Linked DNA regions of Callithrix jacchus. The protein of the gene in region 2 interacts with the protein of the main gene of each other region in a biochemical or structural test. Links are inferred from orthologs where the notes say so. Each region holds a gene or a part of one and is shown on either strand. Other genes may lie near its edges. The genes, in order: XIRP1 and FLNC.

The links.
Region 1: the proteins of FLNC (region 2) and XIRP1 form a complex in vitro, tested with the Homo sapiens proteins (2 studies listed by BioGRID and IntAct, with this or other methods). The link is inferred for Callithrix jacchus from reciprocal best matches to the Homo sapiens genes FLNC and XIRP1.

The regions. Positions count from the first base shown.
Region 1 is NC_133518.1:77,036,732-77,046,227, reverse strand, and holds the end of XIRP1 (xin actin-binding repeat-containing protein 1), read left to right. Parts: intron 1-2,413; 5' UTR 2,414-2,417; coding exon 2,418-7,886; 3' UTR 7,887-8,584; downstream 8,585-9,496. UniProt on the Homo sapiens protein: Protects actin filaments from depolymerization. Required for correct cardiac intercalated disk ultrastructure via maintenance of cell-cell adhesion stability, and as a result maintains cardiac organ morphology, conductance and heart beat rhythm.
Region 2 is NC_133512.1:118,323,523-118,332,608, forward strand, and holds the end of FLNC (filamin-C), read right to left. Parts: intron 7,809-9,086; coding exon 7,647-7,808; intron 7,573-7,646; coding exon 7,369-7,572; intron 6,634-7,368; coding exon 6,481-6,633; intron 6,387-6,480; coding exon 6,264-6,386; intron 6,128-6,263; coding exon 5,885-6,127; intron 5,726-5,884; coding exon 5,456-5,725; intron 5,362-5,455; coding exon 5,224-5,361; intron 4,952-5,223; coding exon 4,836-4,951; intron 3,638-4,835; coding exon 3,505-3,637; intron 3,407-3,504; coding exon 3,230-3,406; intron 3,034-3,229; coding exon 2,815-3,033; intron 2,153-2,814; coding exon 1,943-2,152; intron 1,824-1,942; coding exon 1,636-1,823; 3' UTR 898-1,635; downstream 1-897.

The DNA.
Region 1 (9,496 bases), on a different chromosome or scaffold from region 2:
GTGGGAAGGCCAGGGGTTGGGAGGCTTGCTTTAGGCTTGCTGCCGCCTTGCTGAGCCTCCCTGGACAGCTCCTTTCCCCTCTGTGGGCCTCTGTTTCTCCGTTTGAACAATAAGGGGTTTACACTGAGTGACCTCTGAGGGTCCTTAGGCCTGACATCCCTGGACTCCATGATAATAGCTGTCTGTGGCCCCAGCAGAGATTCTGGACATTCCTGGGGGCGGGGTGGGGCGAAGCTGACGGTCTGCACCTGCCATCTGCCCAGGCCACCCTGGTGGAGACAGGATGGCATGGAGGTGGCAAGAGGCACAGGTTTGCCTTGGGCAGGGGAGCCTCTCCGGAGCTCAGAAATGAAAGAAACCACCCAGAGCTTTGATGAGACTCAGGCTGCAGGTTTGAGAGCTCTCACTCCCCAAAGGTTCTGATGTCTCTACTGGACTTGCCAGGGTGGGCGTGGGGTAAGCAGGACCCAGTTCCCTCTCTCCTTCAGAGGTAGCCATAGGAAGTCCCGCCCCACCTGCTGCCAGCATCCCCACACCTCTTCCCGGTGCAGACTCCTTTGCACAGGGAAGGTGTCCAGGTTCCAGAACCTGGTTGGCCTGCAGTGCAGGGGCCTGACACCAGCTCAGGAGGCAGGATCAGGGAGCCCAGGGTAATGAAGGAGATGAGGTGAGCCAATGACCCTGAGGGTCCCCACTGACTGGGCCTCAGCCACCCTGAGCCCAGGGCTGCTGTTCTGAGGCCAAGACCTCAGCTATATTTAGCACTTTATGTGCTGCAGAGCAGTGGGTCAGGGGCAGCGGGAGGGGGCACATGCTTCCCATTCTTTCCCTGCTGACCTCTGATGACTGTCAGTACACCTGTCACAAGACAGATAAGACAAACATCGACAGAGAGCAGAGAAGGGCTTAAGGGGTGGGAGGCCATTGACCGGTGGGGCACAGCAGGGGAGAAGCTAAGCTGGGGTGGCCGTGAGGCCTGCAGGGGTAGGGCTTAGCCTGAAGCCCCCCGAGTCCGAGCCCCTGAAGCTGTGCTTGCTTGCTTAGGAAGAGGTCTCCAGGGCTGGGCACGGTGGCTCATGCTTGTAATCCCAGCACTTTGGGAGGCTAAGGCCAGTGGATCACGAGGTTAGGAGTTCAAGACCAGCCTGTCCAATATGGTGAAACCTCATTTGTACTAAAAATACAAAAATTGGCCAGGCATGGTGGTGCACACCTACAGCCCCAGCTACTTGGGAGGCTGAGGCAAGAGAATTGCTTGAACCCAGGAGGTGGAGGTTGCAGGGAGCCGAGATTGCGCCATTGCACTCCAGTCTGGGTAACAACAGCGAAACTCTGTCTCAAAAAGAGAGAAAAAAAAAGAGGTCTCCAAGGTCTCCAGGAGCAAGGGGCAGAAAGCACCCTGGTCCCTTGGTCCTCTCCCTGGCAGGTGTCACTGTCATATCTTCCCAGGGTGCCTGCTGGGGAATAGAGCGTCCTATGGCCAAAAGGAAAGCTTTATACCCCCGGCCCTCTTATTTCTTGGGGCCAGGCCCCAGGTGGAGTTCAGGGACCCCAAGCCAGCACTGCCTTCCACTTATTCACAAAGATGTGACTCTGGGCCTAAGCTCCCGCATCTTAATTTATAAATGGTTGTGCTAAAAGACCTTTCAGGTCCCCCTAGCTCAGGCATTCTCAGTCTTGATTATAGTGCAGAAAACCCTGACCGGAGATTCAGAATTTGGGGCTGGCCTAACCACGAGATATCTGGTGAGAGCTTCCCAGCCCTGATCCTCAGCTGCTTCCGCTCCAGCATGGGCTGCTGGCCTCTGCCTGCCTCCCTGGGCCTGGGAAAGGTTGGAGTGAGTTGACAGCCAAGAGGTAAAAGTTAGGCAAGGCTCCAGGTCAACATGGCAAGTCTGCCCTCTGGTGTTCTGCAAGGGAATCTCGTCTCCAGTTTAGAGATCCGCCCCGCCAGTGCTGGGACTCCAAAAATCAGGATTCCCCCAGGCCACTCCCCTGGAAGTCTAGGGAAACGCCGATTTTTAACAAAGGCAGGCGAGGATGGGGCATGTCCAGTTTGCCCTCTGGGTTTGGGCATCCCTTGTGGAGCTAAAGGAAAGTGTCTCATGGCGGGTGGTACCATGGTCACTCCCTAGCAACCTGGGAGATGCAGGGAAGCAGGAACCCATTGCAATGGGTGGGTCCACATGTCCTAAGTTCAAGACCCATTGCACACCAAACATGCCGGCAGCAGAATGAAGCCCAGGCCAGGCGCATAGAGAGAACGAAGGAGTCTCTAAGCATAAGTCAACCAGAGCTACTCTGACCCTGAGCCCTGTTTCCTGCCATTGCTCCCAGTATCCAGCCTCTACCCTGCTGATCATCTAGACCTAAGGCCCCCAATCCCACTCTCACCTCTTCCCCTTCTTCTCAGAAGGATGGCCGACACCCAGACGCAGGTGGCCCCCACACCAACCATGAGGATGGCAGCTGCAGGGGACCTGCCTCTCCCTCCACCCCCAGCCCTAGAGGACCTGCCACTGCCGCCACCCAAGGAGTCCTTCTCCAAGTTCCACCAGCAGCGGCAAGCTAGTGAACTCCGCCGCCTCTACAGGCACATCCACCCCGAGCTCCGCAAGAATCTGGCCGAGGCTGTGGCGGAGGATCTGGCTGAGGTCCTGGGCTCTGAGGAACCCACCGAGGGTGACGTTCAGTGCATGCGCTGGATCTTTGAGAACTGGCGACTGGATGCCATCGGAGATCACGAGAGGCCAGCTGCCAAGGAGCCCGTGCCAGGTGGTGACGTCCAGGCCACCTCCCGCAAGTTTGAAGAAGGCTCCTTTGCCAACAGCACAGACCAAGAGCCAGCCAGGCCCCAGCTGGGTGGAGGGGACGTCCGTGCAGCCCGCTGGCTATTTGAGACAAAGCCCCTGGATGAGCTGACAGAGCGGGCCAAGGAACTGGAGGCTACTGTGAGGGAGCCCGCAGCCAGCGGAGACGTGCAGGGTACCAGGATGCTGTTTGAGACACGGCCGCTGGACTGCCTGGGCTCCCGCACCTCCCTGCAGGAGCAGAGCCCATTGGAACTGCGCTCAGAGATTCAAGAGCTGAAGGGTGATGTGAAAAAGACAGTGAAGCTGTTCCAAACGGAGCCCCTGTGTGCCATCCAGGACACAGAGGGTGCCATCCACGAGGTCAAGGCCGCATGCCGGGAGGAGATCCAAAGCAACGCGGTGAGGTCTGCCCGCTGGCTCTTTGAGACTCGGCCTCTGGACGCCTTCAACCAGGACCCCAGCCAGGTGCGGGTGATCCGGGGGATTTCCCTGGAGGAGGGGGACCGGCCCGACATCAGTGCGACTCGCTGGATCTTTGAGACGCAGCCCCTGGATGCCATCCGGGAGATCTTGGTAGACGAGAAGGACTTCCAACCATCCCCAGACCTCATCCCACCTGGTCCGGATGTTCAGCAGCAGCGGCATCTGTTTGAGACCCGAGCACTGGACACTCTGAAGGGGGACGAGGAGGCTGGAGCAGAGGCCCCACCTAAGGAGGAAGTGGTCCCTGGTGATGTCCGCTCCACCCTGTGGTTATTTGAGACAAAGCCCCTGGATGCTTTCAGAGACAGAGTCCAAGTGGGTCACCTACAGCGGGTGGGTCCCCAGGACGGTGAGGGGCACCTATCCAGTGACAGCCCCTCAGCACTGCCCGGCTCTCAGGGTGCCCCCCAGAGGGATGGGCTAAAGGGAGATGTGAAGACGTTTAAGAACCTTTTTGAGACCCTTCCCCTGGACAGCATTGGACAGGGTGAGGTTCCAGCCCATGGGCGTCTGAGCAGAGAAGAAGGAACTGATTCTGCTGGACAGGCCCAGAGCATAGGGGCCCCAGTGTATGCCATGCAGGACAGCAAGGGCCGCCTCCACGCCCTGACTTCTGTTAGCAGAGAGCAGATAGTCGGAGGTGACGTGCAGGGCTACAGGTGGATGTTTGAGACACAGCCCCTGGACCAGCTCGGCCGAAGCCCCAGTACCATCGATGTGGTTCGGGGTGTCACCCGGCAGGAGGTAGTGGCTGGGGATGTTGGCACTGCTCGGTGGCTCTTTGAGACCCAGCCCCTGGAGATGATCCACCAGAGGGAGCTGCAGAAACGAAAGGAAGAAGAAGGGAAGAGTCAGGGAGACCCCCAGTCTGAGGCGCCCCCGAAGGGCGATGTTCAGACCATCCGGTGGTTGTTCGAGACGTGCCCAATGAGTGAGCTGGCCGAAAAGCAGGGGTCAGAGGTCACAGATCGCACAGCTAAGGCTGAGGCCCAGTCCTGCACCTGGATGTTCAAGCCCCAAGCCTCAGACAGGCCAGCGGGGTCCAGGGAGCAGCACCTGCAGGTCAGCCAGGTCCCGGCTGGGGAGAGACAGACAGACAGACATGTCTTTGAGACCGAGCCTCTTCAGGCCCCAGGCGGTCCCTGCGGAAGAGGGCCTGTGAGATACTGCAGCCGCGTGGAGATCCCTTCAGGGCAGGTGTCTCGACAGAAGGAGGTTTTCCAGGCCCTGGAGGCAGGCAAGAAGGAAGAAGAGCAGCCCCGGGTAATTGTCGGGCCGATCCCTGCAGGTTCTGTGCACAAGTTCACCTGGCTTTTTGAGAATTGCCCCATGGGCTCCCTAGCAGCTGAGAGCATCCGAGGGGGCAGCCTCCAGGAAGAGCAGTCCATGAGTCCCCCAGAGAACGGGATTCGAGAGAGCCAGGAGACGGCAGCCGAGGGGACCCTGTGGACTCTGCACGCCACCCCTGGCATCCTGCACCACGGAGGCATCCTCATGGAGGCCCGAGGGCCAGGGGAGCTCTGCCTTGCCAAGTATGTGCTCTTGGGCACAGGGCAGGGATGCCCCCATATACGAAAGGAGGAGCTGGTGTCGGGTGAACTTCCCAGGATCATCCGCCAAGTCCTGCGCCGGCCAGATGTGGACCGGCAGGGGCTGCTGGTGCAGGAAGACCCAACTGGCCAGCTCCGACTCAAGTCGCTGAGGCTGCCAACTCCAGGCAGCAATGAGGGTGCTGAAGACATGGACCCTGAGTTCCAGCAGCTTCTGGCTTGCAGTCTCGGGGCCTCTGTGGCAAGGACTGGGCTGGTGATGCAGGAGACAGAGCAGGGCCTGATCGCACTGACTGCCTACTCTCTGCAGCCCCGGCTGACTAGCAAGGCCTCCGAGAGGAGCAGCGTGCAGCTGTTGGCCAGCTGCATAGATAAAGGAGACCTGAGTGGTCTGCACAGTCTGCGGTGGGAGCCACCGGCCGACCCGAGTCCAGAGCCAGCCAGCGAGGGGGCCCAGAGCCTGCCCCCAACGGAGAGCGTCATCCATGTTCCCCCACTGGACCCCAGCATGGGGATGGGGCATCTGAGAGGCCCAGGGGCCACCCCCTGCCCTCCTCAAGCCATTGGAAAGGCAGTCCCTGTGGCTGGGGAAGCTGCAGCACCAGCCCAATTGCAAAACACAGAAAAGCAGGGAGACAGTCACACTGGACAGAAAGGGATGGCAGTCTTGGGAAAGTCAGAAGGAGCCACGACTACCCCTCCAGGGCCTGGGGTCCCAGACCTGCAGGCCGCCATGCAGAGTCTTCGGGTGGCAGCAGCTGAAGCCCAGAGCCTGCACAAGCAAGTTCTGAACAAGCACAAGCAGGGCCCCGCCCCCGCGGCCACTGCCGAGCCCATCCAGGCCGGTCTTCGGAAAGCTGGGGGTATCCAAAGCAACATCAGGCCTGGGAGTGGAAGTGATCCCCGGATCCCAGCAGCCCCCAGAAAGGTCAGTGGGGAAAAGCAGGCAGTACCCAGAGGGCCACCTGGGGGGCGGGTGACAATTCAGGACGGCATCTACACCGCTCATCCCGCGAGGACCTTTGACCCGCCTGGGGGTGTCCAGCCTTCTGAGAGGGAACCCCAGTCAAGGCACAGGGAAACCGCCCTCTCAGTCCAGGCTGTCGGCTCCCTCCAGGGATGCCCAGCTCAGAGTACTGGGCCAGGGCAGGAGGTGCCTGGGAGCCACACACAGATGGCCTGGGGGCCTCCAGGGAAGCTGATGGCAGAAGTCTGCCCAGGGGGCCTCCAAGCTGCAGAGACCACCCTGAAGACTGCCCCTCTAGGCCGCCACATTCTGGCCTCTGGGCCCCAAGTGCCAGGTGCCAGCCTGCAACCCCGTAATGCCTTTGTTCCTCCTCCTCCTACTCTCCCAGCTGCTGTGACAGGACCTGACTTTCCAGCCAGAGCCGGCTGTGATGAGGACTCCATCCAGCAGGTCTCCGAGCCCCTGAAGGACCCCCTTCTTCAGTCCCACAGCAGCTCTGCTGGCCAGAGAGCCCCTGGAGGGTTACAGACAAAGACCTCAAAACTGGAGCCCACCAAGTCCCCAAAGGAGAAGCCACAGCTGCCCCCTAAACCCGCACACCTAACCCAGAGCCACCCTCCTCGGAGGCTGCCCAAGCCCTTGCCTCTATTTCCCAGCTTTTCCTTGGAGAGGGGGCAAAGAGAGCAGCAACGAGGTGAGACAGATGCCGCCGTCCCTCAGCCAGCCAAGGTTCCCACCACTGTGGGCCAGGGCCACAGACCTCTGGCCGACTGCCCCAGTGGACACAGCACCACGGCCCCCAGGCCCGCCCAGAATCAGAGTTCTGAGCCCCCCAAGCTCAATGCTGTCAACCGTGATCCCACCTCACCACAGGGGGGCCCCAGCTCCCCAGGAGAGCAGCCCGTGGAAGGGGCCCCCGAGAGTCCTGCGAGTCTGCAAAGAAACCAGAATGAGCTCCAGGGCCTCCTGACCCAGGTGCAAGCCTTGGAGAAGGAGGCCGAGAGCAGTGTGGACGTGCAGGCCCTGCGGAGGCTCTTTGAGGCGGTGCCCCAGCTGGAAGGGGCTGCCCCTCAGGCCCCCACTACCCGCCAAAAGCCCGAGGCCTCCGTTGAGCAGGCCTTTGGGGAGCTGACACGGGTCAGCACGGAAGTTGCTCGGCTGAAGGAACAGACGCTGGCCAGGCTGCTGGACATTGAAGAAGCGGTGCACAAGGCGCTCAGCTCCATGTCCAGCCTCCAGCCTGAGGCCAGTGCCAGAGGCCATTTCCAGGGACCTCCAAAAGACCACAGTGCCCACAAGATCAGTGTCACAGTCAGCAGTAGCGCCAGGCCCAGTGGCTCCAGCCAGGAGCTCGGGGGTCAAACTGCAGTCAAGATCCAAGCCAAGGCTGGATGCCACACAGAGGCCCACAGCAAAGTCAGGGTCAGAAATCACACGGAGGTCGGAGGTCACACAGCCTCAACGGCGCCTCCCACCGGGAGGCAGGAGACATCACAAGAAGACCTGTGCCTCCCTCGAGTCTTACCTCCCAGCCGAGATTCACCCTCCTCCCCAACATTTATCTCCATCCAGTCGGCCACAAGGAAGCCTCCAGAGACTCCCAGCTTCAAGGGCAACCCTGACGTCTTGGTGAAAAGCACACGACTAGTTCAGGACACGGGCCAGGCCCTGCTCCAGCAGAAAGGTGTCCAAGACAAGGCTGGGAAGAAGGACGTCACCCAGTGCTCTGCACCGCCTAAGCCTGCCCCTCCCTCAGCCAGTCCCCTGCCCACAGGGCGGCAAAAGAGTGTTCTGCAGCTGCAGACGGGGCCAGGGAGCTTGCAGCACTGTGGAGCCATGAGAACTGTGACTGAGCAGTACGAGGAGGTGGACCAGTTCGGGAACACAGTCCTCATGTCTTCCAGCACAGTCACCGAGCGGGCAGAGCCACCCAAGAGCCCAGGTCCCCACCCCCGGCTCTATGCCTCCCCCCTGCTGAGGCAGTTCCTACACAGCCCAGCTGGGTTCAGCAGTGAACTGGCAGAAGCCGAGCTGGTGCAGGTGTCCTGCAGCCCCCAGACAGCTGCCCAATAAGGCCACCCCTCCCACCACACCTGCCACCTGTTCTGGCCTCCACTGCCCCAGGACTGAGGTGGGTGCCTACCTCCTGCACCCTGGTGCAAGGACCAAGAGGAAAGGACATCTTCTGAGGACGACTGGGGCCATCTCCCTTTTGTCAGTTCTTTCAATAGGCCCAGTTCCTCCGATGGGAAAAGAAAGGTCTGGAAGCAGCCCACGGAGTAGCGCAGGCGTGGGGGTGGGGTGGGTGCCCCCAGCTGCTTGGGGGAGGATGCAATATATACACAAACACGTTTCTCACACAGACCTGGCCCACGCATGGACATGTGTGAATCTGCACGCCACTGCCTGAGGTGGAGCCCCCCAGAGTGTCCCTCTACCCAGAGGTTTTATTTCTTTTATTAGTCTGAATGTTCCCAGCCATCTGCTCCGTAATCCCCGGAGAGGAACGGAGCCAACTGGACACAGCATCGCTGTCTGTTTGCAATCACTGTGAGGTCTCCAGAAGGGCCTGGCGGCCAGCCCCTTCATCACCATCTCCATCATTCAGCTGGTCATCTGGTGGCCCAAAGGTCACATGAAGAGTCAGCAATTACCATGTCCCCAGAAGCCAAATGCACAGCCTTTCTCTGTCCCCACAACTGTCCCCCACTGCACCCAAACAGAAAGCGTGCGGTCTGAATAAACCCAAGTTTTATTCTCTACTCTGTGCATATCTGACTGTGTGTGCATCTGTTCCAGTCGGTGTTCCCGCTGCAGGGGAGAGAGCAGCCACAACCTCCAGGTGCCTCCTCTTCCTAGCAACGGCAGCGTGGGAAGGCTCTAAAGGCCACTCCTTCTCCACCATCGTAGCTGACAACCAGAAATGCCCTGCCCACTCTCCTATTCTCCTTACCCCCCTCCCCATCACGTGTGTGCTCGTGCACACACACACACACCCTGCTGCCCTCTCTGCCTCAGCCTCCCTTCCTGCGCGTTCTTGATCACCATCCTGAAGGGGATCTTAGAAGCCTGCCCCAGAGCTGGAGAGCAGCCCAGTCAGGCCTGGGAAGCGGGAGGAACTCACGCCAGGAGAATTCCTGTGCCCACCATGGCTGGGCCACTTCTGCCTATTCAGCCCAGGTGCTGTGTGCCAAGCAGGGGCTCCTGGGAAGGGGAGTGCTCAGATCCTGGCCTGGAAAGTCAGGATGATTTGGTGAAGGGCCCTTTTCACGCTGTCTTTCAAAAAGCACTGGGCATCTTCTGTATTCCAGACCTGTTCTAGGCAGTGGGGACACAGGTGCGGTCCAAGGGGTCCCGCTTTCAGGGAACTTTTTAAATGAGGAGACAGACAATAAATGAGAAAAGTTAGATCAGGAACAGGGTGATGCACCTGGCTAGGTCGCTCTCGCACTCTGGGATAAGTTACATGACACTGTGTCATGTAACAATGGCAGGTGATTGCTTTAGGTGGAGTGGCCAAGCCAGGCCTCTCTAAGGAAAAAACACCTCAGTGGAGATCTAAATGACAAAGAACAACTATGTGAAAACCTGGGGAGATAAGCGCCGGGTGGAGGGACAGCACCGGCAAAGACCCGGAGGTGGAATACATTTTGTTCCGGGGTTTCCTGGATGCACAGGCATTT
Region 2 (9,086 bases):
TGCAGCTAGAGATGTGTACCAGGGCGGTTTGGGAGCTGGGGGCGCTGATCCAGGAGGGGCAGGGAGGGGTCCAGGAAAACTTCCTGTTGGCCAGGAAGATGAAGAGGATGGGGAGGCAAGGGTGTTTCCGGGCAGGGGCCCAAATCACAGCATGGGTGCCCAGTTAACTAGAGGTGGTGAAGGGGGGTTGGAGGTAGAGGGGAATGGGTTTGCTGCCCAACACATACAGATGGAGAGGCTGCTGTCTGAACCTGGGGGACCCTGGAGACCTTGTCAAGAAGAGACTTTACTCTGGAGCAGGAGGGAGCCACAGAGGGCCTAAACCAGAGGGGCATACTCTCTTTAAAGTGACCACCCTCCTCAAGCTGCAGCAGGGAGGGGAGATTGGAGGGAGCTGGCCAGGGCAGGGCTAGTGCAGGAGTTCAGGAGGGAGGCCCTGTGCAAGCTCAGTGCTGGAGCGGGGCACGGGATAGCCCAAGTTGATTCGGGAACCCGCTGGAGAAAAGGTGCTGGGGTCTGCACGTGGTTCTGCCTGCATACTGGTCGAGGAATATTCCTATTTGAGTCAGAGCTCAGTTTTAAGGTCTTAATTTGAAAAACATCCTCGAGGTCAGGCTGAACTGAAACTGGCCTCCCAGGGGTCCTGGGGCAGTACTGTAGAACACTGTCCACACTCTGTACTATCCACAAATCCTCCTGCTGGGACCCCTTCCCACAAGCCCCTGATTCTGCTTCTTTCAAGCGATCTGCCAACATCCCAGACCTCGCTTTTGCCCCAAGGATCTTCCCCTTGATCAGGGTCAGTCTTCCAGGGGACAGCCAGGTCACCTCTGCCTCCCCAGGGCTGGGTTTTTCGTGTGGCAGGACAGAGGGCAGCCCACAAAGAACAGCCAAGTGTCTGCGACAGCCGCACTTTATTTAGAGTTTTCCACCTAAGCGGCTCCCAGCTGAGCCACATGACATGTGCAAAAGTTCCCCTACAAAGCTGGGCCTCGCAGTGTGTAAAAAAGGCCCCCAATGGGGCAGAGACGTGCAACCATTTAAAAAAAAGAGACAGCGAGAGAGAAATCAGGCCCCCAGGAAGCCTGGCCTGGGCGGAGTGCACACCGCTCAGCCAGTCCCTGTGCCAACCCACTGTGGTGCTTCAGGGTTTTTCCTCTCTGGTTGTATTTTCCTTTCCAAGTCCTTAAAACTCTGGGGTTGTAGCCACCAGAAGGACCAGACCAAGTCCTCAGAGGCAGGAGGGTGATTGGCCAGCAGTGCAGTTTGAGGGTGACCTCTCACACACAGATACCCCCAACACAATGCTCCCCCACTGCTCAGCCCTGCCAGAAAACTCAGGGCTTCAGCCCACTTGTGCCCCAGCTTTTGTCCCTGAGCCTGGCCCCAGTTGGCCCTCAAGTCACATCCCCGGGGAGGGACACTGTCCTGAAACAGACAAGGCCCCCCAACCCCCAGGGCACGGTGGTAGGGGAGGCTGTGCCTTCATCCCCAAGGCAGGTGTTTGTAGTGTCTGATTCTATGCGTGTGTCTGGGTGTGGCACATTTGTGTGTGTGTGTGTGTGTGTGTGTGTGTGTGTGTGATGTGTGTTTGGCTGGAGGTGGGGGCCGAGGCTGGGGAGGCACTTCTGGGATTCAAGGGACCTTGACTTTGAAGGGGCTTCCAGGGACACTTTCGTCGCCCCACTTGACAATAAGGATGTAGTCCCCTTTCTCTTTGACGGTGTAGGTGACGTTGTACACCCGGTTCCCCATGTGCTTCACGTACACCTCCTCACAGGGGGTCTTGGGCCCGTGCACGCCCACCATCATCATGTTGGTGCCTGGAGAGGGAGGCAGAGGGCCAGGCTCACACCAGGGAGCCCCCAAGGGGGACCCACGCCCTGCTCCCAGATGGCTTCTTGCTCCCTCCCCAGAAGACGCCCTCCCCACCTCCACCTGCCTGCTTTGCTGCAGTCCACGGTGAAGGAGTTCTTCTGGCCCACGAAAGCCTGGGACAGCCCAGGCCCCCGAGTCACCACCTTGCTGGCATCTGAGGAGAACTTGGGGATGGAGCTGTAGCTGGAGCCCCGGCTTGAGGAAGACTTGGTCACAGTCTCCACCAGAACCGTGGATGTTTCGTGAAGGCTGTGGCCTCCGGACAGCCTCGGACCTGCGGGGCGGGTGGAGGGGCACAAACCTGGTCAGAAGGGCTTCCTGGTGCTCCCCAGGTGGGGGACCCTCAGCCAGCGCTGCCACCCAGTGGGACTCACTGCCTGCATCTGGGGCTCCCCCAGATTCCTCCAAGGGCCACTCTAGGAGCCCAGCCCCATTCCCTGCCAGGGCTGGAGCTGCCTGTTCCAATTCATGCTTCACCCTAGGGCTGGGGCCTCGGAGGGCTGCGTCCCTCATCCCTGCAGGCTTTGTCGGGAACTCAGGCCAAGTCACAGGGTAAGAGTCACCTTGCAAAGGAACACCCACCCAACCCGTCCTATAGACAGCCCCGGGAAGGGGAGTTTGCTCAGTACTGACTGTGTCTTCTTGGAGCTGAGGAATTTGGAAAGCCAGGAGGGAAGAAAGTGACTCTAGAGCCTCAGGAGCCAGCGAAGGCCAGAGATGAAGGAGGGAGGGCCGAGATGGGAGGAAGAAAGGGATATGTACAGGGTCATGCGAGGCTCCATGGAGTGTGTGCTGTGTAGAGCCAGGCCCACCTCTATTCCTGGTAACTGACCATGATGTCTAGGGCAGACTATGGCCTGGATGTGCGTGGCCACCGGAGCCCTCCAGGCTGGGCTGGGCTAAGGCTGTGTGGGCCTCCCCTGAGCCAGCACTCACCTGTGACCTTGGCCTTGAAGGGGCTGCCCACAATGTGCTGGGGGCCACCGTACTTGATGGCAATGAGGTAGTTGCCAGGGGCCATGGGAGTGTAAGTGACCACATGACCCTCAGGACACTCCCGACAGTCCAGCTGCACCTTGGAGGGGCCATCAATGGTGACAGACAAGGCCCCCGAGCCAGCATTCAGGGTGTTCACGATGAACTCTGATGACACACCTGGGGGCCAGAGGTAGCAAGGCTGAGGGCAGGAAGGGCTTGTGGCCCAAGAGGGTCTGGGCCCCAGCTCCCTGGGCAGCCTCTGTGGGGACTTCTGGCTCAGAGAGCAGGGCCCCTGCCTCTGGAGGAAAGCAGCACCAGACTAGTGGCCAAGCACCCCCAGAAGTCACCCTGTTCCCCAGCTCCTGGCACTCACCAGTAGTGCCTCCCTCAAGCCCAGGACCATAGGCTGACACCAAGCCTGGGTCCCCAGCCTGGCTCTGCTCCCCAACGCGGATCTTGAAGGGACTTCCAGGGATGTGGGCACCGTTGAACTTGACATCTATGGAGTGGACACCATTCTCGTGGGGGATGAAGCGGATGGTGTGCTTGTCTGTAGATAGAGGGGTAGTGGCTTAGCTTCCATCCTTCCCTTCCCCTTCCCAGAAGGCCCCAGCCTTCAGGGTGTGGGCAGGGGCAGGGGCAGCTCACCACTGTCCAGCTCAGAGACATAGCACTCCTCCACAGCCCCCGAGGGTGTGTGCACTCGGGCATCAATCACGCCTCGGGCACCGTTCAGCTGCACTGCAAAGGATGCTGGCTGGTTCACCTTGAGCCCCGTCTCCTACAAAGGCCATGGAGGATGCTCAGACTCCTGGGAGGCTGGGGCTGGAGCAGCCTTTTCTGCAGCCCCACACCATGCTCACTATAAGCTCAGACCAGAGGCTACCACCACCCCACATCCAACCTGGCCCCTTCCTGCCAGTCCAGCCTGGGAGCAGGAGGAACTAGGGTCTGGCATACAACCCTATGCATGCACCTGCTATCCTAACTGTGCTTGGCGTGTGGGAAATGAGAGATGATGTGCCCTGTCCTGGCTGAGGAAGGAAGGGCCCCACTCTGTGTGAAGCAGCCTGAGGGCGGAGGGCCAGTGCCTGATTGTCTGTGTGGGCTTGGGGTGCTGGAGAGCTCTGATGTAGGAAGCTGAGTTTGGCTGGACTGGCCTGGGAGAGCTTCCTGGAGGAAGTGGACCAACAGGGAGGACCAGAAGCATCCTAGAAGGGCTCTGGGGGAGGGAACTGGAGCCTGCATGGGGGAGCCAGGTTCAGGAGTGGGAGGAGATGCACAAGGGCTCTGGACGGGCTAATGTGACCACCTAAGGGGCAGCTGGGAGGGGTGCAGGAGAAGGAGCTGGGGTGAGGCCTGTTCTGTGCCCCCTATGCAGAATCTCCTTTACAGTGTGTCCCCTGGACACCTGGCCCCTGGTTTGCATGTGTCAGTGTGACTTGCTGAGAGCCTCCCTTGCACATGTGCCCTAGGACAGAATGAAAGGAAGACACTACCTCTCTAGAAGTCAGCAGCAAGAGAAAGTAAGCCAGGCCCCCAGGGACCAGGAGAGGACACAGCCCAGGCTCTGCAGGCCATAGGCAATGGATTTAGAGGAGCCCCTCACACCCTCTGCAAACTGGTTTACTCTTAGTTTATATAGATTTTATACTCTCATTCTCATAAATGTTAGCATCTAGCATTCTTAAAACAGAAAAAGGTGGAACACTGTAAAAAGAAATGGCAGGTGGCAGTAGGACAGGCAGACACACCTTGAGAAAGGCAGAATGAGGCTTTGTGTGCCCGAGTGCAGGGGTGAGCCCACAGGGACGGAGCCCACCATCCCCAAGGGTCCTGCCTTGTGCCTTCCGAGAAGGGACTTCTAACTGGCCCTTCCAAAGTCACTGCTAAAACCCTGGCCCCATGGACCTGCTGTCCTCAACTCCCGCCCATCTCTCAGGTAGCAGAAACTCTCCACCCCCATCCTGGGAACAAACCTGGAGGCTGGTGACAGTGAGACGGCGAGCATCATCTGAGAGGGAGGCCACAGGCACCACAAAGGGGCTGTCTGGGATGTGCTCATCATTGAACTTGATGGAGACCTCATAGTCACCTGGGGAAAGAATCCAGTCAGCACAGGCCCCAGGATGGGGCAGGAGCCTCCCCACCCCAGCCTTATCCCAGTACAGGTTCCGTGGTCAGCACTCAGCCCTGAAGACAGACACAAGTTTCTGAGGGTGTGGGGTGGAGGAGACGGGGCAGAGGAAGCGCAGGGATCCTGGGTAGGGGAGTTCTGTGGCCCCAGGCATCTTCCTGGCCAGTGAGCAGAATCCCAGTCTGGAAGGTCAGGTAGGCCCAGCCCCCACCGCCAGCGTGGATGCCTACCTGGTTCCTGGACGACATAGGAGACGCCGCAGGAGCCATCTTTTCGATCCTCAAATGCAATCTCTGCCTTGCTAGGACCCTCCACGGCAATGGACAGGCCCCCAGCGCCGGCCTCCCTCGTCCAGATGCTGAACTCGGCTAAGGACAGGAAAGGTGGGGAACTTTTCAGCACCATCGCCCCTCACACTGGCTGCTCTGACATCGTCCCCACTCCTGGCTACCTGCCCCTTACCTGGCACTCCGGCCACACCTCGCTCCAGCCCTGTGCCTCCGGCCCTCACCTTGTGAGCACCACCTTCACCCAGCGGCCCCACAGTGAATTGAAAGGGGCTGCCGGGCACGTGCTGGCCACGGTACTTGACAGCGACCGTATGGGGCCCCATCTCCTGGGGCACAAAGCGCACGCTGTAGGCGCTGTCCTCGCCCTCGACAATCTCCGCGGCTTCCATCTTGCCTGATGGGCTGGTCACCTGTGCAGTCATGTCCTGAGAGCTGGCCTCACCTGCAGGGTTTGGGGATGTCAGGGTGACACTGGGATTCTTTCGAGCCCTGGCCCTTCCCTACCCTGTCAGTTAAACCTCCTCCTCTGCTCAGACCAGCCCTGGTCTTCGGGCCCAGTCTGCCAGCGTCAGGCCTGGTCAGCAGCACCCTCAGTGCTCACCTTCCTGCTGCCGGGTGATGCTGCCGAAGGACCCTAGACGCTCCCGGCCCAGGAAGTCCCCAAACACAGCGGGGAAGGGGTCCCCGCCGACCTGGGTGGACTCCTCCACCCGCACCTCCCGCTTCGTCTCCCCGCCCCGCGTCTTGCTGATCTCTGTTCGCTCTGTGCGGGTGTAGGTGTGGCTGCTGCGCGTGAAGGTGCGTGTCAGGCGCTCCTGGGCAGACACCATCTGGAACCAGTTCCCTGTGTGGGCAAAGGAGCCAGGGTGAGGGAGAGAAGTGAGGGGTGAGGAAGCAGGGTGGAGACCCAACAGGTGGGCTCTGGCCCGGGCCAGCCCTACTCCCACCACCCGCCCACCCAGGCTCCTCCAGGCTTCTACCTGGGATCTTGAGGTTGAGGTCACAGGTGCTGCCAATGGTGGCAATGGAAGGCGCCTGTCTACGCCGGGTGATGCTCTCCTTCATGCGGCCCTCGCCGGTCACCTTCACAGTGAAGGGGCTTCCTGCAGTGGGGAACAGAGGGTGGGTCAGGAACCTCAGACCCCGGCCTGTTGGCTTCCCTGTGTCTTGATATCCGACCTCTGCCCAGAGCCTTACCAGGCACGTGCTTGTCAGCAAACTTGATGTTGATGATATAGGTGCCGGGCTCGGTAGGGCAGTAGGTGACTTTGCATGTCCCATCCTCCATGTCCTCACAGTTAATGTCCACTTTGCTGGGGCCTTCAATACTCAGCCCCAAGCCGCCATAACCTGGGGGAAAGCCAGGAACATGTCTCCCTCAGTCCTAGGCTGGCCCAGCCACAGTGCTCTCCCCAGAATGGAGGCTGCACCCAGAATGGTCACCTGATGTGTGTAGTGACCAGTAACAAAAATGGCTCAGTGGGAGGAGATGGGGGCACCATGGGACAGGCAGTCTGGAAAATTCCCTAAGGTAAGCCTCTTGAGTTTCAGTGAGCAAGGGAGAGACAGAAACTCAGGACAACTGAGGTTTCTCTTAAATGTGAGAAAACTTGGTCAGGCGCCATGGCTCACGCCTGTGATCCCAGCACTTAGGGAGGCCAAGGTGGGTGGATCATGAGGTCAGGAGTTCAAGACCAGTCTGGCCAATATGGTGAAACCCTGTCTCTACTAAAAATACAAAAATTAGCCAGGCATGGTGGCATGTGCCTGTAGTCCCAGCTACTTGGGAGGCTGAGGCTGAAGAACTGCTTGAACCCAGGAGGCAGAGGCTGCAGTGAGCTGAGATGGCACCACTGCGCTCCAGCCTGAGTGACAGAGCAAGAGTCTATCTCAAAAAAAAAGTGAGAGAACTAATCTGGAGCCATTCACTTTCCCCCAATGGGGCCCAGAATTCAAATCTTGGCACAGATTGGCCACGAAGTTTTGGGGAGGAGAGTGTGGCCAAGGGGGGTACTGGGCAGGATAGAAGGACAAGTGCCTTCGAGAGGCACCCACTGGAATGGAGGTCTCGGGGGCAGGAGGTACCTGCATTTCGAGTGTCCACGATGAACTCTGCCACCTGGAACGTGTGGCCCTCGGAAAGTCCCTTGCCCCAGACCCGCACCTTGCTGGCATCCCCGATCTCAGACGGCCCCACCAGGATCTTGAAGGGGCTGTTGGTGACGTGCTTGCCACTCTTGCGCACGCTCACCACGTGCTCCCCGACCTCCTTGGGGGTGAAGGAGATCCCTGTGGAAAGCGGGTGTCAGGCAGAGCAACCTGTGGGCCTCCACCCCTGACATCCCACAAGGCCCCTCACTCACCAATGTGCCGGTTGGGCAGGCGCTTCAGCAGGCAGGGCTCCTCGTTGCCTGAGGGAGCGCGGATGCTGGCCGTCAGCTGGCTCAGATCACTCTCGGTGATCTTCAGCGACACGTCCGTGGAGGTGCCCACGTTCAGCTGTGAGGTCCTCATGGAGTCATCGCCTGGTGGGGGATTGGGGCATCAGGCTGATGTGACTCCAGGCAGGCCCTGCCCTCACAGGGCTCAGGAACCTTCCTGGGCAGGCGCTGCTGAATTCAACAGACATGGGGACCACTCCCAGGCACATGGAGGCCAAGGCCTGGAAAGCGTAGTCCCCACTCACGTGTGAGCTGCCAGAGGCTAAGAGGGGCCTGTACCCCAGTTCCACTGTGGCTGCCTCAGTCCTTGGTGGGCTAAATCCCTAAAGGAAGCCTCCTGCATTTTAACCCTGAGTCACATGGTGTTCGTGTTAACAAAACACTAGACGGGACCACACAGACCCCTTCCTCGCTGTGTGGCTGTAATCATATTGCTTGGCCTCTCTGGAATGGGGTTCCTCATCTATCAAAAGGATTATCCAGCCTGGCGTGGTGGCTCACACTTGTAATCCCAGCATTCTGGGAAGCCGAGGTGGGCGGATCACGAGGTCAGGAGTTTGAGACCAGCCTGACCAACATGATGAAACCCCGTCACTACTAAAAATACAAAAATTAGCTGGGCGTAGTGGTGAGTGTCTGTAATCCCACATACTCAGGAGACTGAGGCAGAGAATCCCTTGAACCTGGGAGGCAGAGGTTGCAGTGAGCCGAGATCAAGCCACTGCACTCCAGCCTGGGTGAAAGAGCAAGACTAAAAGGATTATCCATGTCCTAACTTCTCAAGAGTGACTTCAAAAACTAAACGAGGCAATGTGTTTTCAGGCACAATGAGTGGCTGACTGCGTCTTAGCTTCCGTGGAGAATATGGTGTTTCTACATTTATCAAAATATGACCCCTCACACCTCGAAGGGTCTCTGCCTTTATGACTTGAAGGGGCTGGGCTTGCACATCCCATCCATGCACTGTATGCAGGGTGTGTGTGTCCTGTATTCAGGGTGTGTGTGTCCTGTATGCGGGTGTGTGCACTGTATGTGGGGTGTGTGTGCCCTGTATGTGGTGTGTGTGCACTGTATGCGGGGTGTGTGTGTCCTGTATGCAGGGTGTGTGTCCTATACGCGGGGTGTGTGTGTCCTGTATGCAGTGCGTGTGTGTCCTGTATGCGGTGTGTGTGCCCTGTATGCGGGGTGTGTGTGCACTGTATACGGGGTGTGTGTGTCCTGTATGCGGGGTGTGTGTCCTGTATTCGGGGTGTGTGTGTCCTGTATGTGGAGTGTGTGCACTGTATGCGGGGTGTGTGTGTCCTGTATGCAAAGTGTGTGTGTCCTGTATACAGGGTGTGTGCCCTGTATGCAGGGTGTGTC